Arabidopsis thaliana: one gene and its partners. The protein of the gene in region 1 interacts with the protein of each later gene in a pairwise test. Each region holds a gene or a part of one and is shown on either strand. Other genes may lie near its edges. The genes, in order: ESE3, ZFP5, MAF1 and GATA4.

The links.
Region 2: the proteins of ESE3 (region 1) and ZFP5 interact in a two-hybrid assay, tested with the Arabidopsis thaliana proteins (one large-scale study listed by BioGRID).
Region 3: the proteins of ESE3 (region 1) and MAF1 interact in a two-hybrid assay, tested with the Arabidopsis thaliana proteins (one large-scale study listed by BioGRID).
Region 4: the proteins of ESE3 (region 1) and GATA4 interact in a two-hybrid assay, tested with the Arabidopsis thaliana proteins (one large-scale study listed by BioGRID).

What each region holds. Positions count from the first base shown.
Region 1 is NC_003076.8:8,705,398-8,710,144, reverse strand, and holds ESE3 (Integrase-type DNA-binding superfamily protein), read left to right. Parts: upstream 1-2,259; 5' UTR 2,260-2,489; coding exon 2,490-2,572; intron 2,573-2,675; coding exon 2,676-3,138; 3' UTR 3,139-3,400; downstream 3,401-4,747.
Region 2 is NC_003070.9:3,446,961-3,452,451, forward strand, and holds ZFP5 (zinc finger protein 5), read left to right. Parts: upstream 1-2,730; 5' UTR 2,731-2,773; coding exon 2,774-3,409; 3' UTR 3,410-4,266; downstream 4,267-5,491.
Region 3 is NC_003070.9:28,952,987-28,961,467, reverse strand, and holds MAF1 (K-box region and MADS-box transcription factor family protein), read right to left. Parts: upstream 5,947-8,481; 5' UTR 5,790-5,946; coding exon 5,605-5,789; exon of another isoform or gene 3,158-5,604; coding exon of another isoform or gene 3,135-3,157; coding exon 3,077-3,134; intron 3,013-3,076; coding exon of another isoform or gene 2,967-3,012; intron 2,867-2,966; coding exon 2,624-2,866; intron 2,516-2,623; coding exon 2,474-2,515; coding exon of another isoform or gene 2,414-2,473; exon of another isoform or gene 2,318-2,413; coding exon of another isoform or gene 2,306-2,317; exon of another isoform or gene 2,139-2,305; coding exon 2,097-2,138; coding exon of another isoform or gene 2,055-2,096; exon of another isoform or gene 1,891-2,054; coding exon of another isoform or gene 1,858-1,890; exon of another isoform or gene 1,725-1,857; coding exon 1,623-1,724; 3' UTR 1,357-1,622; downstream 1-1,356. Other genes in the region: AT1G77090 (thylakoid lumenal protein (Mog1/PsbP/DUF1795-like photosystem II reaction center PsbP family protein)), read left to right, coding at 78-181, 266-377, 495-722, 828-892; AT1G77060 (Phosphoenolpyruvate carboxylase family protein), read left to right, coding at 8,019-8,311, 8,395-8,468. UniProt on the Arabidopsis thaliana protein: Probable transcription factor involved in the negative regulation of flowering time in both long and short days, probably through the photoperiodic and vernalization pathways. Prevents premature flowering.
Region 4 is NC_003074.8:22,369,661-22,375,081, reverse strand, and holds GATA4 (GATA transcription factor 4), read right to left. Parts: upstream 2,070-5,421; 5' UTR 1,735-2,069; coding exon 1,525-1,734; intron 1,448-1,524; coding exon 935-1,447; 3' UTR 528-934; downstream 1-527. UniProt on the Arabidopsis thaliana protein: Transcriptional activator that specifically binds 5'-GATA-3' or 5'-GAT-3' motifs within gene promoters. May be involved in the regulation of some light-responsive genes.

The DNA of each region.
Region 1 (4,747 bases):
AGACAAACAATCTAGACATAATTAACGAATGATCTAGTTGTTAAATTCATATTATAAGAGTTGCAAAACCGTAGCACATTTTGTGTGTGTAAATCTGACAAATTTGCTTCAATTACAATTTATAAGGATGATACCTTGTTTAATCTATTTTTTAATGAACATTGTGTATTTATTTTGTTGTTGTTCATTGCCATGCATTTGGGAGATAGATATTGAATACTTTTTCTCTTTCAGAGGTATGGTACTAGTTGAAACTTGGAAGATTAGTCATCACTACTCACACGTGCCAAAATAGTAGCAAAGAGACAAAATCCTCAATGCAACTTAAAATAAAAACAGTCTTTGTTATAGCTAGCTAGCTTCTCACCCTCACATGCTTTGCTATATTGTTTGATCGACCAATACAATTAAACCACGTATGAAACAAAGAATAGTTACCTAAGTAAAAGCGAATATGTTAGACATATCAAAATTATTTTTGTTTAATTAAAATTACAGTTGTAGTAATGTTGTTATTTCAAAGGTACATATATATTTCCATTATGTAACTTGCTGATATTAGCATTCAGTACCATCCTTCTTTTACTACACCACCGAGAGAGATAAGTTACTTTCTTTTTTTTCGTTTTCTTATGGACATGGATGCAAATATACAGACAAAAAAAAGCATATGTTGAATAATTATTAGGGTTAAGAATGATTATTAGTAGGGTGAAAATGATCAATTATTTGATAAAAAGTTAATGACCTTCTCTAGTTGTTTTTCTTGTCGTCATAATTGCGGTCTAGGATTCTTTCATCAATTTGATACTGGATTGAACTAATAATATTTGGCACTTGTTATTTTGATGTATCCATTCTACCTACACACTCTTTTGCCCAACATATTCTTCTATTACCTCTTATTCCAATTATAATTGACTCTAAAAGGATATAGTCTCAATTGGAGATTATTTTTTTTTTAAATATGCGTGCGACTGAATATGATCGACATAACCTTTACTTTTATTTGATGAAACTTTGTCGAACAAAAGATAAATTGGCAAACAAAAACATCCATATATAAACCCAAATAAGAAGTGGTTACTATGTGACATTCCCTATACAATTAACATATACTACTATCTAAAAATTGTAGATAAGTTTATGCAATATTATACTAATTCCCTCTCCAAGTTTCAGTAATGGGCATAATCACATATTTATTAATTATTAAACCTATGTTTTTAATTGAAAAATAATGTATTAGAGTTTTTTTTTTAATAGGTCGCAGACTCGTAGGTAAACTGTACACTCAGAAATCATGGGTATGATGACAATACATTAAGGTTTGTTTCAATAATAACAATACAAAATAATATTAAAGAAGGGAAAAGAGAAGATGATAATCGAAGATGGTTTTGGGTGTTTGATTGAGTCATTATCAAAGGCTCACATGGGTGAAGAATGGTGATGAAAGAGTCTCGCTAGTTATCAAACTATATATTTTCCAATTATTTATCGTTATTATTAATTAGTTGGGGAAAAATTTGGCAGTATCTATGATATAGAGACATGTTGTGATGATCAAACCCATGTGAAAATAGGTACAGTGGGTTTGAAGTTTCACCGCAGCCAAATCTCTTTGGATCCAACTTGTTCACAATGGGAAAATTAAAATAATTGATAAATATATATGCTATATACGTAGGGTTGTTATTATATTTAGAGCTATTTATTAGTTTTATCTTAAAAATACCCCATAACTTAGGATATTATAACTATAATTGTCTAAGTATAATATGTGTAACTTGGGACAAAAGGAAAAGAAAAAGGTTTGGATTAAATTATCTTAGGTTTGATTTCTAAACCGTTTTAATTAATTTATATTTGTTGATAAAAAATTAGCTTTTGTTACAGAAATAAATTCATATGAAACTATTGAACATTTGTAATTTTGTATTCTAACAAAAACTGTGATAAGTTTGTTAATTCATAATTTAAATTCTATTTTAACTTTTAGATAAATTACGATAATACTTTCCAAAAAATATCTCTAAATAAAAAAAACACTTTTCCGACAGTTTAGCATGTAGTTTCGAAGCTTTCAATTTTCACTATAATATGTGACAGAATTAGATAATCCATTTGCCCATGTCGCAGCAACTTCGAATACAACAAATGAAGTAAATTTAAGAATACTTTAAGTTAAATAAATTAATATAACTCTCTCTCTCACATCAAACAAAATCCATGAGATTTTCTGAGTCGTATTGGTAATGGTGTGGGTCCAATTTAGGACCAAATTGATTGCCAGTTTATTGCCAAAGAAAATTTTAACACAAAAACATTTCTCTCTCTCATGAAGCTAAAGCCAACACTACTTATATAGCTACCCTTCACTCTTCCAAAAACGCTCCTTCACTCTCATCATTCTTTCTTCTTTCAAAACATTTCCACAAACACACCAAACTCACCTGAAACCCTATTTCCATTTACCATTCACACTAATGGCACGACCACAACAACGCTTTCGAGGCGTTAGACAGAGGCATTGGGGCTCTTGGGTCTCCGAAATTCGTCACCCTCTCTTGTAAAAACTCTCCCTCATCATCCTCTCAAATTACGAAATTACCCTCGGTCGCTTTTTATTTGAGTAATGCTAAACTTTTTTGTTTTTTTTTTGTTTTTTTTAGGAAAACAAGAATCTGGCTAGGGACGTTTGAGACAGCGGAGGATGCAGCAAGGGCCTACGACGAGGCGGCTAGGCTAATGTGTGGCCCGAGAGCTCGTACTAATTTCCCATACAACCCTAATGCCATTCCTACTTCCTCTTCCAAGCTTCTATCAGCAACTCTTACCGCTAAACTCCACAAATGCTACATGGCTTCTCTTCAAATGACCAAGCAAACGCAAACACAAACGCAAACGCAGACCGCAAGATCACAATCCGCGGACAGTGACGGTGTGACGGCTAACGAAAGTCATTTGAACAGAGGAGTAACGGAGACGACAGAGATCAAGTGGGAAGATGGAAATGCGAATATGCAACAGAATTTTAGGCCATTGGAGGAAGATCATATCGAGCAAATGATTGAGGAGCTGCTTCACTACGGTTCCATTGAGCTTTGCTCTGTTTTACCAACTCAGACGCTGTGAGAAATGGCCTTGTCGTTTTAGCGTATTCTTTTCATTTTTATTTTTGTTTCCACAAAAACGGCGTCGTAAGTGATGAGAGTAGTAGTGAGAGAAGGCTAATTTCAAGACATTTTGATCTGAATTGGCCTCTTTTGAAACACTGATTCTAGTTTCTATAAGAGCAATCGATCATATGCTATGTTATGTATAGTATTATAAAAAAATGTTATTTTCTGATTTTTCTCCATGTAAACCAATTGAACACTTGAAACCAAAAACTAAAAATTACACATGTGTTCGTGTGTGAAAAAGTGGGAATTTAATGTAGTGAAAAGATACAACAATGAGAAGAAAGATATCTAAAGTAGTGAAGAGAGATGAGAGTTTGAATATTTTGAGTTAGCTTTTGGTTTTGTTCCATGCATGTTCTAATTTTTCAACGGTGGGCCTTCATTTTTTTATTTTTATTTTTGGTAATTTGGGATTGCTGCTAAGTAGAAAAAGAGTGTCCCTAGCTGTGGCTTGACGACCATAAAATCCAACTTTTTAATTAGAGGGATTTGTGTTTTCTAGCACCTTATATTAAAATAGAAAAAATAATTTAGCTACATAAAATAGGTGTTTGACTGCAATTACTCTGTTTCCTTAGAACACTCTGTTCTTCGAACAGTCCAAACCTATTATTTATTTGTTTTGTTTGTAATGCGAATAAAAGGAAACTAGTGTTTTCCGACCACTACTTTAACTTTTGTAACAAAATATGATTTACATTTACTACCTTAAGGTTGAATACGAAAATAAAAATATTCTCTAGCAAAGAATGGAAAACATAACATGAGCAGGCTTTAATATATCCTTGACGATCGGTTGATTCTTCTTGCATACATATACGCGATAATATAATATCAGTTGTTAGCAACAAGCCAAAATAGCTAAATAATGGCAATTCAATATGGTTAAAGCTCGTTGCGATATAACCAGTACACATGCAATGCATCTAAATTGCAGCAGACAAATGATTTGACGTTAGGAATTATTTGGATTTAAAGATTTTCTTGCCACCTTAATTATTTGCATGCAATAGATGATTTATTTTTCGACACAATAAATTTGATAATCCTTATAGGTTTTTTTCTTTCTTAAACAACAAATCTGATCATTCTCAAATTAACTTGCTATATTACTCAAATTACAAGCACAAAATTGCATGACCACTTATATTTGATAAGGTTTCTTTTCAAATCGTGAAAAACTATTTTCTATTAAATCTACAGATGATTTCTTTGCATGGTACAGATAATTTGTTTGTAGACATAGATTTCATTATTCTCAAGTTTAAGATGACAGAATCTCAATTATTTCTCAAATATTGTTTTGTTATCATACATAAATTCTACAATTTAATTCCAAAAGTAAATTTTTGAGGTGAAAGAAATACAGTTTTTAAAGATGTTCCAAACTATTTAACTCAAAGTTCCGTAGGAATGCATGCGATCACAGTTGATTTGGTAACAAGTGGAAATTGACTACGTGACTATGTATATTCTCCGAGATCCATTAACAACAAATAAAGTAAAAGAAGAAAATAACCAGTTATATGAGACAAAATGTGTCAAAACAATATTATTTG
Region 2 (5,491 bases), on another chromosome or scaffold:
TTATATATACTCTATAGTTGTTAGCTTATTATGCATGCTCGCTGGAATAGTTTAAGTAACAACAACCTTTGGAATAGTTTTTAAGTAACAACCATTTATTTAAGTTTAGTGGACTTTTTTTTTAATCCCTGGTCTTGGCATTCTTGGTGGGCTTCTTTTCTTTTTACATATAAACTATCAGAGTGCTCTTGGAGTCGTCTAGAAGAGAAGCAAAGGTTTTATTAATAGGGAAGGTGGGGTCCCTCTTTGGATACACTTAATTATCTTCAACATAATTAAAATGGTTAGTAAATTCAACCTGTTTTACATAAAATAAAATAATAAAATCTAGTCCTACTTAAATTTCTCAATTCATCTCTAATACAATCTACATGCATGTGCAAGTTTTTGTTTTTCACTTGCACATGTATACCCGTGTTTGGAACTCTCAATAAATCTTTTTACAAGAAGAAATCTATATATACGTAAATAACTAAATATGTTGTATACAATGTCTCTGTTATGAGAAAAATAGAATTGGTTAATTAGTATTCTTTCTATGTCTCAATGCATGTATTATTATATGTGATACGTACTTCGGTACCTGGCACAGCCCATGATCATATGATATAACTTTCCTTTAAAAGAGACAAATACGACAGCTAACCCTTTTTGGTCAAGACTATAGTTAAAACTTAAACATGGTCAAGTTGCATAAGTTTTACGGACACCGTATACTACTAACTAACGTTTCAGAATGGTTTTTGAATTAGTGTAAAGTTGTTTGATACTTCGATGGCAATATAATATATACAAATATATATGTAACAATTAATATAGAAGGTGAGGTTGATATATATAATTGGTGTATATATATATATATAAGTTCAGTATATCAAATATTATAGAAACCAACCCACCCACCCACCTAGTAGCCACCATAAAGAAACTTTCAGAAAATCATAATTAGCTAAAATTATTCCACATGCTATTGGATAAATAAAAGATTATCGTTGACAGCATACTTATTTGGAATTCTTCTTTCCCTCGATTGATATAATATTACAATTTCTTACTTCAAAATTTTAAATAAAGGACCTGAGCGAGAGGAAAGAGGCTTTGATTGCATGAGACACCTATTGGTGGCAAGAAAGTCTACCAATCAGAGATCTTAGGTTGTACGAGTGAATATAATTATAACACCTAATAAGGATTAATTATTGTTATTTCACTTAATTGTCTTGATCTATCTTTTAAGTTACAGAGCAGTGGGGTCCTTAATTGGAACAACTGTCCAAACCAAATGCCATTTCATTAGACTTATTTGTATTAAAATAAGATTATCCCATGACTTGATTCACCTGAAAATAGAATAATCTATACCTTTCTTTAATATCAGTTTTCTTTCTGTATAAAATATTGTCTTCTCATGCTTTATGAAGATTTGCCCAAGATCTTGTTTTGAAGATTAGACTTATGAATATAATTTTTATTTGTTAAATAGTATAGATGCTTGCATCATTGCCCACTTCTTGTATTCCTTCATTTGGCAACTAACTATTCTCCCTGTTTAATGTAATAAGTAATTAACATTCATTAAACATGGTCAAGATAGGCTTTTTCTTTCTTTTTCACAGTAATTAGACAAATAAGATTTGGTTTAGGTGGAAGACATTGAGATAAATTACAAGAAAGCTTCAATTCATGCTCCATCATCAATTCTCTCTGCGAGCAACTTTAATTGATGGGAAATTTCAAAAATCTACAATGATAATTACATAAAAACACATCAATAAAAAGAATATCCAGTAGACTATTAACTTTGTTAGAGAACAAGGGACGACGATTCGTTTGATTTCGTTCTTGTTGCAATATGCTCTTGAGTGAACGTTTTGATACAAAATGTCATCTGCTCGCTTAAATTTATGATGGATATATGCGTTATTCAAATACATAGTGAAATTTAATATCATTATGGGATCAAAATATTATACTTAACCTTCCATGTTGATTATATTTTTTGGCCTAAGTTGGTTAGCCTTATTTCTTCATATCTTTCTTTGACTTTTGATATTAGATCAATAATATGATATTAACATCTTAATGTTCTCTTTAAGCTTAGAATATAACTTTTGTATTAATTGTCACAAGTGGTGTGATCGCTGCATGCCTTTTCAAATATATTTATTTATTCATCATATCTCAACTTAATCTAACTATTTTATTCACGCACTAAACAGAAAGTATTTTTCCACAATATTTAAAATAAATTAAATTTGATCAATTTTAAGTAAATGTAGATATAATAGTATAATACATAAGATAAAAGATAAAACAAGTTGACAAGTTAAGTCTTTATATATAGTATTTAAAAGATTTCTCTAACCCGTTTTATCATTTTGCCCTTTTTCTTTCCCATATATGCATATGCGCGTGGTATCCACATATATCTCTATAAAACCTATTACATGTTAGTGTAATATTTATTGTACCTATCAAGGTTTATTTTCCAAGATCATTTCTCGTCACACCTTAGATTCAAACAACTAATTTTATTATAAACCCTAAAATACTATAACTTGATGCTGTTCATGACTAATATAAAAAACCCTTCATACAATATAAAATTTCTTTAGACATACAATATATTATACTATTACAGATGCAATGCATCATTAGTTACAAACTATTAAACTAAATATCCCCCGTCTCTCTCTTGCTATATAAAGAAGATCATTTACACATCTCCTTAAGCAAATTAAACCCATCGATAAACACATACGTTCACACATATATGTCTATAAATCCGACAATGTCTCGTACTGGCGAAAGTTCTTCAGGTTCGTCCTCCGACAAGACGATAAAGCTATTCGGCTTCGAACTCATCAGCGGCAGTCGTACGCCGGAAATCACGACGGCGGAAAGCGTGAGCTCGTCCACAAACACGACGTCGTTAACAGTGATGAAAAGACACGAGTGCCAATACTGCGGTAAAGAGTTTGCAAATTCTCAAGCCTTAGGAGGTCACCAAAACGCTCACAAGAAGGAGAGGTTGAAGAAGAAGAGGCTTCAGCTTCAAGCTCGGCGAGCCAGCATCGGCTATTATCTCACCAACCACCAACAACCCATAACGACGTCATTTCAGAGACAATACAAAACGCCGTCGTATTGTGCATTCTCCTCCATGCACGTGAATAATGATCAGATGGGTGTGTACAACGAAGATTGGTCGTCGAGGTCGTCGCAGATTAACTTCGGTAATAATGACACGTGCCAAGATCTTAATGAACAAAGCGGTGAGATGGGTAAGCTGTACGGTGTTCGACCGAACATGATTCAGTTCCAGAGAGATCTGAGTTCTCGTTCTGATCAGATGAGAAGTATTAACTCGCTGGATCTTCATCTAGGTTTTGCCGGAGATGCGGCATAACAAATTAAAGAGAGATATATGATTAAGATTATATGTACTATAGTGGCGTATTTCATTGGGATCATGAAGGGGAAAAAACGAGACATATAGTATTCTTGATGCAATTTGAGTTTTGTAATTTATTTAGGTTTATGTATGTTTTCGAAGAAAAAAATAATTCCAAGTGATGTTGTGGAATTATTCAAAAAAAGAAAAAAAACTTTATTAGATGGCTTTACTAGAAAATTCTCGATCATCATCGTCATCCGATACAAAATAAAGTCAGGTAGAGGATCGAGCATTTATAAATTATGGAATAACAATAAATCGTACTATGGAAGCAAATCATTTTCTTGTTCCTTAGTTTGCTGACCGTACATATACTAGTTGACAAGGTTAATCCATAAATCTCTTTGTATCATTGTGTGCTGTGTTTTTTTTTTTTTTTTTTTAATACTGTGTGCCGTGTTGGTGCATTTGCGTAATTGATGGAGGCAACATTTTGAACATAATCACTTTCTTGTTGCTTAATTAGTGTATATGGCCATGGGTACGTTCTTCCTATTGGTACATATGCATGTATTTATATTACAAGGTGAGTATTCGTTACAAGTTGTGTACATATGTTCTTACACGTGCAATTCGTACACGCCTCAATTTGATTTATAGTCAAATTTCAAAAAATTTGTTAGAAATTTCATCTCAAAAGTTATAATATGATCTAACGTGAGACTAAAAAACATATGTGAATTTGAATGATATAAACTTGATGTTTTTTTTTAATAACCTATATACTTATTGTAGGTACAATCCAACGATTTTATGAATGTTGTATTTTTTTTGTATACACTGTAAAGACGATTTTATGTCATGGCTATTAATATAAGAATATACATTTTAAAAATAAGATTTTAAACTGATGTCTCTTACCAATCTCAAGACGAGTACTTGTGATTCTTCGGAGACAATGAGAAGAGTTTGTAAATTCTGAATACTCCTTAAACGAACAGAATAAGTGAATTTAGTGGTGGATATAACTAGCTTGACTTTAGATCTTATTCTTTCAAATAGATTTGGTGTAAGATTGATTCGACATTTCCCATTAAATCTCCAAACAAATATGTGCATCAATTCGTAACTGTACAGCTTTAAAAATACATATAATAAATGGAGTCGGCAGGTTTGTATATTAAATTAATTTGCGTGATTGGAATGATAAGCTTAAGATCCATCATCCAGTGTTGGAGGTCCCTTTAATTTTTGTCTACACATGTCACTTCCGACACCAACGGAACTCCATTTGCTTATGTGTGTATTGGATGCTTATCCCATTTAATTAAAAAAAAAAATGTTTTTAAAAGGTATTATTCCTTTATTGTCCAATTCGTATGTTTCCTAATTTTGGTAAATATGTTTTTGTTAAGTTTGAAACATCGTTCCTTGCATTACGTATGAGTAAATCATACACGAGCGTATGACCGAGTTGGAATTTACGTAATGACAGATAAATTTGTACATTTACGACATATAAAAATATGAAATCAACCTACATATCTCTTTTTTCCTTTACTATTCTGAAAATTCTAGGTTTTTGACGGAAGAAGTGAAGGCTATAATCACAGAATGGAGGACTCTGTCACGCATTGTGTTCTAGTATGCCATATTTAACACTTGTCAATATGGCTTCGAAAACCGATAATTTTCCCTAACTAAAAATAAAATAAATCTAAGTGGCCACCTAAATGTGTTTAGTTATTATCATACATGCATGCAACATTTTATCATGGCATGTGAAATGTAATCATAATGGAGGATAGACTGCTTACTACTTAAAACAATAAACCACTAATTATCAGTTTTGAAATGATTTATTTTTGTTTAAAGAAGAGATAATGTTATATAATGTTGTGGGAGACAAAGATAGATCCAAGCCAGGTAAGGTTAGCTTGTTGATCTAAATTGATTAAAGCATTTGTTGAACAAGACTTCGCCATCTGTACCACCCATTCTTCTTTCAATTATGGATTATAATTTAGTAAATATCATATATATGCCTCCATTATAACTTTTATTATTGACATTATTGCTTTCTTAAAAGCAAGT
Region 3 (8,481 bases), on another chromosome or scaffold:
TTGATTCTTGGAGTTGTATTATGACAGTATAGTAGTTGGGAATTTGTTGGTGTAATGTAATTGTAATGCTCAGACAGGTTGGAGAACATACCGTAGACCAGACGAGAAGTCAGGAGGGCATGGTGTTGGTTGGAGTCCTATTATCCCTTACGCCTTTTCGGTTCCTCAAGATTGGAATGAGGTTTTGTCCCTTGGCTCTTGTTTCTTCGTTTCTATGGTTTTTAGTCATACTTTGAGATTCTTTTCATTGTTGTATCAAATTTAGGTACCTGTATCGATCGCTGATCTTGGTGGCACCGAGATTGACTTGAGATTTGCTAGTCCTAAAGAAGGCCGTTTGTCTGTTATTGTAGCTCCTGTTCTTAGATTTGCAGATAGTAAGTTGTCTCTGCTATTAAAGATTCATCAACTTTACTCTTTTGAGTTATATAGGCAATGCAATCTTGTCTATTTGTACTCGTAGATTGATTGATTTGTGTGTTCCACTTATACAGACCTCGGGGACGATGTTAAGATTGAAAATATTGGACAACCAGCGAAGGTGATTAACGCGTTTGGACCAGAAGTTATTGGAGAAAACGTAGAAGGGAAGGTGTTAAGTTCCAATGTTGCAGAACACGATGGTAGACTCTATTACCAATTCGAGCTAGAGCCGCCTCATGTACTGATAACTGCAACAGCTGCCGGAAACCGCCTTTACTTGTTCAGTGTCACCGGAAACGGTAAGGCAAAACCTCTCTTCTAGTCAGAGATTTAAAGACAGAGCAAACACCTTTTGTTTGGTTTGTACACATAGTTAATTGCTCTGCTTATGTTTGATTCTATAGGTCTTCAATGGAAGAGACACTACAAGGATCTGAAGAGGATAGCTAGTTCATTCCGCATTGTTTAGACTTTAGAACTTTTTTGGATATATCAGATCTTCAACAAGTTACTCAAGTGTTTCTCAAGACTAAGAACACAAAGAGCGGTACATAAATGTGTATTTGTAAAAAGTTGAGAATCCTGTAATATTATACTAAACAACATACGAGCAGTGAGTTTGGCATACGGTTGTATGGATCTGGATTCATCAGAAAGAACCAAAACATGAAACAGAGTTCAAAAGCTGGCTTTTTTGAGTTCTTCAAAAACACAAATAATAAAACTTGGAAAAGGTGAAAAATATCTTATATAGTTTGGAGCTCTCAAAAACAGAATCACTAAACTTGGAAAAAAGAGCAAAATATCTGATATGGTTTTGATCAAATTAAAAGAGATGCAACTAAATAACTTTGCCACGTAATGTAAGACAAATAATCAAATAATTAAAGTTATAAAAAAAAAAAGTAAAAAAAAAAAGAAATAAGAAGGTCTAGGGTTCTTCACGCTGAAGAAAGAAAGCACAACTTTAAAAATCCAATCCGTACATTCAGACACAAACACACAAACTCTGATCTTGTCTCCGAAGGAGGTACAACACTGATCCATACTTTCTCGTTTTCTTTTTGACCTTAAATTCCACACTAGAGGAAGATAAAAGGTTTGAGATTACACAGCTTTTTATAATATACAAATTTATTCTCTTAATTATGAATCAGGCTTTGAGTTTAAGGTGAAAACTCAGCCGTTGATGATGGTGGCTAATTGAGCAGCGGGAGAGTCTCCGGTATTTTGTTGCCGGAGCTACTTCCCGGAAACATTCCTCTCTCATCATCTGTTGCCAGCAACGTATTCTTTCCCATCTGTAAGAAACTTTCTTACATTTCTTTTTTTTCTACAGCTACTAAACATTGCAAGAAATTAATCTATCTTGTAGAAAGCATTTTTTTTATTTGCAAATTTCACAAATTAAAAATACCGGGTTTTGAGTATCTTTCATCGGTGAGACATACCTTTCTTCTCTGACAGCTACTAAATTAACAAGAAAGATAGATTTTAAAAGCATTTTGTTATCACTTATCACATATTTAGGGTTTCACTATAATTGTCTAGTATCCATCAAAGTCCTTCAACTTTTAGTTTTCATGTACGTGTATATGTGTATCTCTCTATAACGGGGACGTATAAAGTGATTAATTAGCTTCAAGAGCAGAAGATATTGTGGTCATTGTTACCTGGCTAGCCAGAACCTGGTTCTCTTCTCTCAGCAATTTCTCCTGTTTGGAAAAGATCATAAGGTCATTAGTTTCTAACAACTTCTATAGCTATTTCCAAACATGTTTCCTTCTCGAAACATAAATCATCCTCATCCAAATTCGACACTTTATGAGGGAAAGGTTGGATTTGATCAAGAGTTTAAAACTGCTTGTTTTTTTAATTCTCATTAGGGTTTCACCTGAATGAAGCCAATACTAAATCAGGAACTAAGACAAGACCAAAAGATATATATATATATATATAGTAATCTGTAGACTCAGCAGGTTAATAGAATTCAAGAATCATCATAGCCTAGAATATGGCCTTTATCGAAAATAAAAACCAAAGCACTAACCTTTTCTTTAAGGGACTCGATATACTCCATCATCAGTTCTGCCTATAACAAGACATTAAGATTTATGTCAAAAGATTGTTCTAGGATAACTAACTAAAAAGAAGGTTTTGTGGAGTAATTGGTTGAATCACTTAGTAGCAGCACATATACCTTCCTAGCTCTACTTACGGACAGAGCAGTCTCAAGTTGTTCCTCCAGAGAAATTAGAGAATCTACACTTACATTATCGACATTTGGTTCTTCAAGCTTGCTGTATTCACAAGTAGACAAAAGAAAAAAAACATTTTTTTTATCAGAAGAAGAGGGGAGAAAAATGTGTCGTACTGCTAACCTTTGGACTGTTTCTAGTAACTCCTTGTGTGGAAGATAATTCTGAATTTTTTCTTCAAGATCCTGCACATGAAGAAAAGGAATGGTCAGAAAGATTGTGAAGTTCTTGTATTTTCCAGTAGACACAATAACTGTAACTCTAGAGAATTAAGTTCGGTGTTACGAGTTCAAAACATTGAGGTTTCTCCGGCTTGAACAGCGCTTCTATCCTTCATAACACCAAAAACCGCATCCAGAAGAATATTAGAATGACGTTCTTAGCTAATTACTTACTAAGGCTCTAAGTTCATCAGCATGTTGTATTTCATAACGATCAATGATCTTGGAAATGCTGGAGATAAAACAAAAATGCATTAGAACAATAATTTATGCAAAAACCATTTCAAAACTAAGAATCAGATACTGCATCAATAGAGGCCATTATTTAGAGAGAATGCACCAAAGTGAAAGAAAGCTTATATAATATGTTACATTTGCAACAATTTCTGTTACTAACCAACAGTTTTTGATAATCATCTTTACTTAACCAGGCATCTATATATAAAAATGATAGTAAGTATAAAAGCATTAAAAAAAACAATGTAAGTTACTATTAGTTACCCTATTTTTGAAGTTACTGCTTTAGATATATGTGTTCAAAATGTTTTATACTTCAAATGTAAATCTGAAACTCTGATCATCTGGTGCTCTAAAATTAAAATCTGAATTTACAATTTCAACTTTAAGATCCTGTTATATATCAACTTCGCAGCCAATATTGTCATTGTTTCGACTTCAAAAGGTTTTAGAAACTAAGTGCACACATTTTTAACTCATCCCCATGAGTTCGATTATCTACCTTCTTTTTCTTATCAAGGCTAAATCAGTTTTATAAAGAAGCTCTATTTTTGGTTCTTCAAAAAACTAATATCATGCAAAATGTATGATTGTATAGATTATAAATCACATCCTTCCAAAAGACAAAATCTTGATGAAATTCATGTTCATTTTAAGGGAAAATTTTCAAGAATTCAATGCAATCAGTTTATATTTTGACTAGTCAATCCAAGTTTTAGTTATTGACGCTTTCACACATAACGTCAAACGAATCGGAATACTGAAACCAAAAACCTTTGGCTAAATGATATCATGATACTCCAAAAAGGATAAACCAAGAAACTGATTTAGCATTTCCGGGAAGGTCATGACAGCTCTAATCCTATATATGTGTTGTCCATGATCTATTAATGCTATGATATGAATAGAGACTGGCTTCAAATTCACTTCAGTTATTACACGTTCTTATCTTTTTAGTAACATCTCAAGTTGTGACTTAGTAATTTTACATCAATCACAAAAAGAAGAAAAAATGAACAATTAGTAAGACGCATAAGACGACTAATCTCAACTAAAAACACTTTGCATAGTGCCACTTTGTTAAGGTATAAGAACTAAATAAAGAAACTAGCTACAACTAGAGCTTGACTATTGTAAAATGGAGACAGATAGATACGGTTCCTAATACTTCGTCTATAGTCTGTGCATTTTGTTGGTTACAAATTTAACAAATTTGCTTTCATGATCAAGCATTTATGGAGTCAACATCAAGGAAATGAGAAGGAGCTGTATATATACACATACTGACAAGAGTTACCTTTCCATTTCCTACTTATCCATTGATGATTTTATCTTAGGTCTATTAGAAAAAAAAAACTCACTTTTAGTCGCATTCAAAGTATTCTAAAAGAGAAGTGGATGAGATTTTTCTAGATACAAAAGTTCATGGGGTTAAAAATATCCACGACAAATAACAGAAGACTATTAAAGTCATTGAACATTTGGTTGTAGTCTAGTGGTTTCTCCCAATTAGTAAAATTGGCGACCGATTTCTACTTAATGAACCTACTAGGCCACTGACATATATATGGTAGCAGTAAAATCAGTTATAGTTTGAGTTTCTTTAGCAAAGAAATCCAAACTACAACATCTTAGAGAGCAACAAAGAGTCACTCAGTAAGACATAATGTATCTTGTATGGTGTCATAAACACACAACAAATTACGATTAAAAGGGTTAAAATCGATATCCAATTAGTTAAGTAATGAAGAATGTGTGGCGAGTATCAATGTGGAAACTTATCCCAGCACTACAATAAACCATCAAAATCAACTAGATAAACCTTATTCCTTAAAGAGAATTACAAAAGAAAAGATCTACAATACATTTTGGATCAACATAAAGTACAATGTGTTAACCAATTTGAACCAAAGATATTCGATTAATGTTACCACTAACCCCAAATAATCTCTCAACAAAACTACTTGAAGTGCATTGCAATATTGAATATAATTACCAAATCTCAAAATTTGAACAATCTAAACATATTGTTTCTTATATGAAAAAACGAAGCTTCAAAGTGAACAACAGATGGAACTAGCAATACAAAGATTACTTAAACAACATCAAGAACGAATCACCACGTGTAGAAAAGTTTCTTGAATAACATGCAATATTAAATTTCGTCACAAATGAAGGTAAAAAAAGAGATAAAAATGATTTTAAAATGAAAAAAAAAAAAACACGAAAAAAAAAACACGAAACGAACATCAAGAACATATCTTGGCGATCAAAATGTTTAGTCTTAAATTAGGTTAAAGCTTACGCATCTGCTATCTTCATACAGAAAACAAGGAGAAAATCTCAGTTGATTTGATGGAATCAAAAAGCCCTAGATTTGAAGCTTCTATATGGAGAAAGTAATTAAACAAAGTAAAAAAGCACAAAAATCGAGTGAGACCCAGAAAAGGAAAGTATCTTCTTACTCGTCACCGGAGGAAGAGTCATAGAGTTTTCCGGAGGCAGATACGACGACAACAGCGACGGAGGATTCACAGAGAATCGAAAGTTGTCGAGCTTTGTCGATGAGACCATTGCGTCGTTTGGAGAAAGTGACTTGTCGACTGCTTTTGTTCTCGATTCGCTTGATCTCGATTTTTCTTCTTCCCATGGCTTCAAATCTCCGATAAGGGTTATGCCCTAATTTAATCCTAATCTCCGGAGACGCTCAATGCTTTTTGCTTTTTATTCTTTTTTCTTGGTTTTTTTTTTCCTCCAACTCGTTTTTTTTTTTGGTTAAACGAGATAGAGAAAATAATAGTATTAAGCGAAACGATTGCGTTTTGAAGCCACTAAGAGGCAAATTTTTAAGCTTGTCGTTGTTAAAGACTTTTTAATCCAGTCGGTTAGACCGGTCCGAGTCCGATCATCATCCCCACCGAACAGAAATTGGTTTTTAAGGTTTTCTCTTTTTATTTGGAGGGTTTAAAAGTTATTTTATCTCATTGGTTTTGATCGGAAAGTAGTGCTTATGAATCGGGTAACGGTTAATTCAAGGATTTCAGTTATTATTGACGTAATTATATTAAAGATTGATCGGATAATCAAAACTACAATGCAAACTTTCACTAAAATGGTTTTGAATTCAAATATTTTTAAATCGATAATTTTCAATACGTTTGACTATCACCAATTTATTAAAAGTGATTAGTAACTTGACCACTATCAGTGTAAGATAATTGGTATTGAAAACATTATATTATCTAAAACTAAGAGCATATTTTAAAATGTTTGTTTAATTTCTTTGTTTTCTGAATCCATCTTGTCTTGATGCATTGGGATATTCAGATAGCACCTCCCCGCTCCTATGATGGCTCTCCGAGCGATTTTGACCATTTCACCAACTAGAAAGCCTTATCAAAATCTTTGTGCTTTCTTCCGTCTCCAAGAGTAACCATTACTTTATCGAGTTAGGTCGTAGGTTCTGCCGTGGCTCATTCATACTACGTCTCAAAACTGAGTTAGGGATGGTAACTAATTTGGCTTCCCCATTTTCAATGTTTGTTCGCTTACGCTATAAAGGTGAACCAGAATCAGCCCACGACCCTAACCGGATTAAACCGACATTGTTCTTCTTCCCAATCTCGTTTCGGCCCAATATTAAACCAACGAGCCAATACTCCCTTAAACGATTATTTGGGGCAAAAAGACTCTCAACTCTATTCACATGCCCATTAAAGGCCCGATATAATTTCACCGTCCAAAACTACAAATTCGTTTCGGCTTGCTTCATTTCTCAGCTTCTGGTTAATGGGTGGTAAATGATAGCTCTAAGAATAAAGGCTTTTCTCTACTACATAAGAAAAAAAAAAAGAGAAAAAAAGAAATAGCCCATCTCTACTTGTCCCTTTTATTGGCCTGATTTAGCTTATTCAAAAATAAGAAAAGAAATGGGTTTGTTAATAATAAATCAGTAATACTAATCTAACGGCTAATTGTCAAATCGTTGAGAAGACAGTCGAACGGTAAGTTTAATTTTAAAAAGATCAACATTATAGCCGTTGGTGAAGATTGCCAACAAGCCCTATAAATACTTCCACTAAACTTTTTTACAGCCATCCAAGTGGACCAATCTTTTTTATTTGGCTAAAATGTCAATTGAATTCAGATGGTATAGTTGCACACAAGAAAAATAAAAAATAAAAAAAATCAGATGGTATCAACAGTTTACATATTCACCCTTAATCAAAACGGAAAAAGAGAGCATAAAGCCATAAAGTAAAATTCAGTCTAAAAAGCTGTAACAATTTCTTAAATACAAACGACCCAATTTGTTGAGATGTGAAAAAGGCAAAAACAAGTCACTACATGAAATTGGATGTTGTAGGCCCAATTTGTTGAGATAGTAAAACCGAATCATTTTTTATCAAGCATTAGGTTGGAAATTGGTTGGCCCATAGAGTATGTAAAATCAAAGTAGAAATGGAGAAAAAGTGAAAAACAATGAAATCTTTCTTGTTTATTTTGATTTTTCTCAAAATTTACATCTTTTCGATTGTTATCATCTTATAGGTCTTTTGCAACTCTCTTGCCTTTGTCGTGCTTGTTCTGGTGGAGAAAGGAGTCGTTGTTTTGTGGGCTCTTGTGTTATGTTGTGAAATAGGTTTGGTGACATAAAGGCCCATTTCTATGATGAGCTTAAGCTAACCAAATTATACATTTATTGTTAGATTGCCTCTAACATTTTCACAATACCTTGTGGTTTGAGTCTTTGAGATACTGTTACCATAAGATAAGACCGAGATATAATAACCACGTGCTCTCTATTAAAATCCCAAGCGTGTGGGTCAGAGTCTAACTCGATTAGAGAGAAGAAAAAACTTGTTCGAGGCTTCGAAGAATGTCGATGTTAATGGCTGTCAAAACAACTTCACTCTGTTGTAGCAGCTTAAACCTTACAGCTTCACCAACATTCCGACGGAACCCACGCGCGGCGAGATTGGTGAATCCGACAGCGAGAATCCAAACACGTTTTCATCGCCTGATTGAAGAACAAGGCATTGTGCTTATGCCTGGATGCTACGATGCCTTATCCGCGGCTATTGTGCAGCAAACCGGATTCTCCGCTGGTTTTATATCCGGTTACGCCTTATCCGCTTCTCTCCTGGGAAAACCCGATTTCGGTTTGCTAACGTGCGCCACCTTTTTTTTTTTCTTTCTTTAGTAATTTTTTGTTTGTATGCTTTCGTTTTATTTGTGTTCTTTCGTCGTTTTAGACCACCGGAGATGGCTGCGACGGCAAGGTCGGTGTGTGCGTCAGCTCCTAATATACCCATCATTGCAGATGCTGGTAAAGTTGCAAA
Region 4 (5,421 bases), on another chromosome or scaffold:
TTTTGTCAGTATAGTAGTTTCATTCATGTTTTGAGTTTTGTTGTTGTTTTCTTGAGTAGTCTCAATTGACCTCAACATTTTTGCAGTTTCTTGATATTTGAATTTTTGTCTTTCTTTATACATATATTTGATCCTCTTTTTTCTTGGCTTGGTTTAGTTGATAGTTTAAGCGGAAAATTAACCAAATTAGATTAGTTTTGTATGGTATTTCTGGTTCGATATCTTAATGTTAAGACCTTGCTTTGGTTTCTATTAGGATTCGGTCTGTCGGGGTTCTGGATTTGAATAACGGTGACACTATACACCACATTATGGTTCAATTTTCAGATCATTTGTTTGTTCTGTTTCGGTGTTACCGCCTAACCAGTTTAGTTTATTTATAAGAGGTTTAAGCACTTTGTATAAGAGTATTGGTAATTTTTGGTTCAGATGGAATAAAGCGAAAAATTGTTAGATTTGAATAGCCTAAACCAGAGAGAGTTAGGTTTGGTATGGCTTAGGTTACTATTTTTTAAGAAAGTAGTAAACTGAATTGCCTCGTGAAATGCCAAAAACTCAAATTCTCAAGCATGTAACATGTATGATGTATGTATGAAGATTAACCAGCATTGTCATGTGTGATATAACATCATAAGTCACAAAAAGCAGAGTCCATGGTGGTTGAGAAGCTTTTATATCTGAAAAGAGGAAAATTAAATGCCGCCAATGAAATCATTTAATGATATAACTTTAAGGAGAGCCGTGAGACCAATAAACAAAAGCAAGAAAAAAATCAATAGAAATTACCAACAAATTAATTAGCAGAGATTTGCAAACTTTAAACTAATACTGATAATTAAGTCCTTAACCCCTCCCGTCGGTCACGTGATCATCACCGTTAAGATTACGACACGTCACCAAATCACAAAAACCCTTGAAAAGAAAACCCCCAAATTTACTGCGGCTGAAACGGCGGAATTCGAACGCAAGATTCTTGTTGTTCCTTCTGTCGCCGGAGCTCCATAACTTTCCGATGAGAGTTCGAATGCTGAGTCAATACAAACGTCGGACTCGACGCCGGTCTGTATTCCGGTACAAGCCTCCCTGATTTGTAACGAACTCCACAAGCGTTACAAAGTGTTTTAGGTCCAAGCGGTCCAGTTCTCCACTGTGGCGTTTTCTCCGAGGCACAGTGCGTGCACCGCCTCGCTCCATCCGCCGTAACCGATTCAGCGTTGTAGACTTTCTTCGGTTTAGGTTTAGCGACGGAGTGACAAAGCTCTGATTCAGACATCGGAGCCCAAGTTCCAGCTACGGAAGGTGCTGGTGCTCTTGATCGGCGACTTCTAGGTTTTCCGGTGAATGAAATCTCGGGTCTAACGGTCATGGTTAAAGGATTTGCTGGGAAATCGGAGAATGAATCGTCAACGAATCGCGATAACCATTCGAGATGAGCTGCGTCGTCACTCTGCAAAACTCAAAATCAGAACTTAGAAATTCAAAATCAAAATCAAAATTAGGGTAAATTGAAATTTGAAAACGTACGGGAACGCAGAGATCGTGAGTGAAGTCGGTGAGGAGAGTAGGAGAAGTGTAGGTGGAAGAAGGAAAGCTGAAAGGGTTTTCGGAAGAAGCGGCGGAGGAAGCGGCGGAGGAAGTGACGGTGGAAGAGGAAGAGAAGATTTCGTCGTTGGAGAAATCGAGAAGGTCGTCGATACGAAGCAAGTCCGGTGAAGACATGCCGTAGACGTCCATTGTTGACTCGGACTCGCTTACTGAGTATGTATGTGGTCACTGGTTCAGAGGTTTAATATAGAGAGAGAGAATTAGTGTAAGTGAGGAAAGAGACGAAGATGAGAACGTGCATAGAGTTAGCATGCACCGAGACTGACCTGACCACTCCCTTTTTTTCTATTTATTTATCCACTTTAATATATTTGTCTACATTTTTCTTTGAACATGCATGTGCTATTTAATTTACTTACCAGAGGATTAATTAACCATGAATTACATAATGCATATACTAGTCTTTTTTTAAAAACGCATATATTATAGATCGAGCTTATATTCTAAACAAGCATTTTGAAAACATTTCTTTCAAAACAGACACTCTAAACAGTAAAAGCATATAATACTTCAATTTTTATTGTTACGGACATTTTTGCCCTTAAACTATGAACTGGAGTTGAGAATGAGGTGAAAAGAATGTGTTTATCTTCTAAAAATTGTATCCCCATCTCTGATTCAATTTTAAGTTTCTTTTGACATCCAAAGATATATGGCTTAGATAGTGGACTTGCAGCTTCGACGGTAGGCATGAAGCTTTGACGATAGCACAAAGATTTGGTGGTGGTTCACGGCTTTGACAACGAGGGGTAACGAACGGCGTCAATGGTAAACGCTATACCCTAGAATTAGACTTGTAAACCCAAACCGTCAAATATAGAGTATGCAATTCTTACATACACACAATAACACAACACTACAACCATCCTCATTATCATCAAACACCATTAACATGAACAAAAATCAATGTACTTGTAGACATGATTATGAACATCAATTGAGCAATCAACAAAGTATCAATCACTTCTTGAATTCCTTAACCTGCACAAAAATCACTGAACAAAAAAACGTGCAAATCGTAATACTAAATCGTGGGACTTTTTTGTTTCTTGTTTTTTTTTTCCAGATCTCAAAATGTGGGATGTTAAAAATCTAGATCGCATTCACATCTCATGAGGACCGATTGTTAGTCGTCTGAATTTCCAATCGTCGCTGACATCACTCTGTAATCAATGACTCCAAAGTTGTTGGTGTTGGTCGCAAGTATTTTTGATTTCTAGTGTAAAACGTAAAAGTTCATCAACAAAGAAAGAACAACATCATCTCTCTGTAAGGGTAAAAACGACTTTCCCCAGGAAAGAAGTGCCTAAATCTAAAGATCATTTCAAAAGTGCCTAAAATAAAATATATATCTAAGACAAATGCCTTATTTGCAATAAACTCATTATAGATCATAGTCTATAGTTTTATTAATTTAAACAAGTAATGAAGGGGAAATTAAATAAATGCAAGGTTACTAATTTTATTTTTTTCAATAAGCCTCTCTCCCTTTTGTTAATTAAATTCTTCTGCCATCTCCTAAAAAGGTTTTCCGATTTTTTTTCTTAATTTTGTTGAAATTTGTGAGTTGGATCATTTAGTATCCCGTTGAGTTTTTTTTTTTTTTTATGTTTTCTTGTTCAAAGAAAATAAAATAATATTCTCCGGAATGTGTAATCAATCATAGAGTTGAATTTCAACATGACCAAAACAAGGAAATAGAGAACAAAATTGGCTCAACAATTTATTAATACAAAGTGATGCGAATGTATAACTATCTTGTTTCTTGTGCTTACATGAATATTTCGCATTTTGCAATCACACTTACAGAAAAAGAAAGAGACACAGAAGTGGGACTAGCTTCGATCGTTGTAGAATAGAGTGTACACAAGTATCTAATATCATTCTTCAGTAACCTAGCATGTCTTTCACAGGTTTGATTAATAACTAATGTGATAACGTTTAGAAATATCCTTACTACCAGAAGTAACGAAAATTTAGTTTTGATAAAGAGTTGTTTTGACATATTATTTTAAACATTGAAGAGATAACTATAAAAATGTAGTGGGGAATGGGAAAATGGATGGAGACAATGAAGGAGATGAGTCGACCGACGATCCGAAGTGCATTGCACTTTGGTTCTATAAATTCCTATGGCCCTCTTTTTAGGTTTATATATACATATTTTTTCCCTATCATTTATCTTCTTATGTCTCTTTCATGCATTGCTCCTTCATTAATTTATTCAGTTTTTCAACTATACAGAAACTACTCATATATGTACAAACACGCACGGCACATGCATATGATATAAAGAATGGGGAACCAATTGTTGCGAACATTGTGTTCATATTCGGCTAAAATATAAACATTCATATGCATCACTATCTTGTGTTCAATTTTTATGTGGCACCGCCAATCATCATAAGGCTCTAATTCGGGCAGATGTATCTGATTTCTTATGTCTTAACCATCTAATTACAAGGTACAATTGAATTAGAATTTAGGTAAATACATTGCGTGTATATGCAGTAAAAACATATTCCAATATTGTACTTTGGATGGAGGCATCAGTTTTAAAGAGTACACAGAAATATCTCTGCAGGGCTTTGATGTGAGAACAGTGACTCCTTTTTCTTTTCTCTTTTACAACTGCAATACATGAATTTGTTAAAATTTAATACAAAATAATACATTAAGTCACATATATCATCATAATTCATAAAATAACAAAATTGTATATAAACTGATTGAAGGTTCGCAGAATAGCGTGGCGCAACGTGTTGAAGTGTTTGGTCTGTTCCACAAACGTTCTTTCTTTTTTCTTTTTTTTGTCACTAGAAATTTTATTAGAACTTGAGATGGAACCTTACAAGAAACCAAACGCCCAAAAGAAGGAAACTAAGTCAGCGGACAACTAAAAGTCCCCAAAGTCATAAGCCGGAAGAAACAGTGAATTCTCCGGAAACTAAAATGGAATCAAGATACACTAAAAATACAAAGCATAAAGTTCAAGCCGATATCAAGAAAGCTCGAAATCCAAATCTAAGAACATTAGCAAGCTAACATAAACCTTAAGAATGATGCTAGTCCAAAAGCAACAAATCCACTTCTTCTTATGATAGTCCTATGAACGTTCTTTCTATAGTAGAGTTTTGTTTGGCTTAAGCCGGAAGAAACAGTGAATTCTCCGGAAACTAAAATGGAATCAAGATACACTAAAAATACAAAGCATAAAGTTCAAGCCGATATCAAGAAAGCTCGAAATCCAAATCTAAGAACATTAGCAAGCTAACATAAACCTTAAGAATGATGCTAGTCCAAAAGCAACAAATCCACTTCTTCTTATGATAGTCCTATGAACGTTCTTTCTATAGTAGAGTTTTGTTTGGCTTATAAATTAGTGATTTATGATACGAAGCCGACAATAATAATTATTGGCCTATCCATAAAAGTTCTGAAGCTGAAAATATTTTTATAATATCTACGTAAAAGTATTACAAGAGAAAAATACAGACTAATCGGTAAATCCACGTGGCTGCATGTGGGGACCGTTCTCATCTTCACGTTCCTCGAAGATAAAGAAGATTTGTTGTAGTTAAAGTACAAGATAAAAGAAGACGAAGTTGTGGAAAAAGAAAAGAAAAAAAAGAAGACGAAGCCATGAAGAAGGTAATAGAAAAACAAAAACAAAAAAGCGAGAATTGGCTTTGAAAGATTTTATATATACTAGGTTTTTAGTTACTACAAACAAATGTAATCGTAATCGTAAGATGACGTGATATATTTTCCTATAATAGTCGCAACATTTCTGAATATCGTTTATTCGTTTACTAT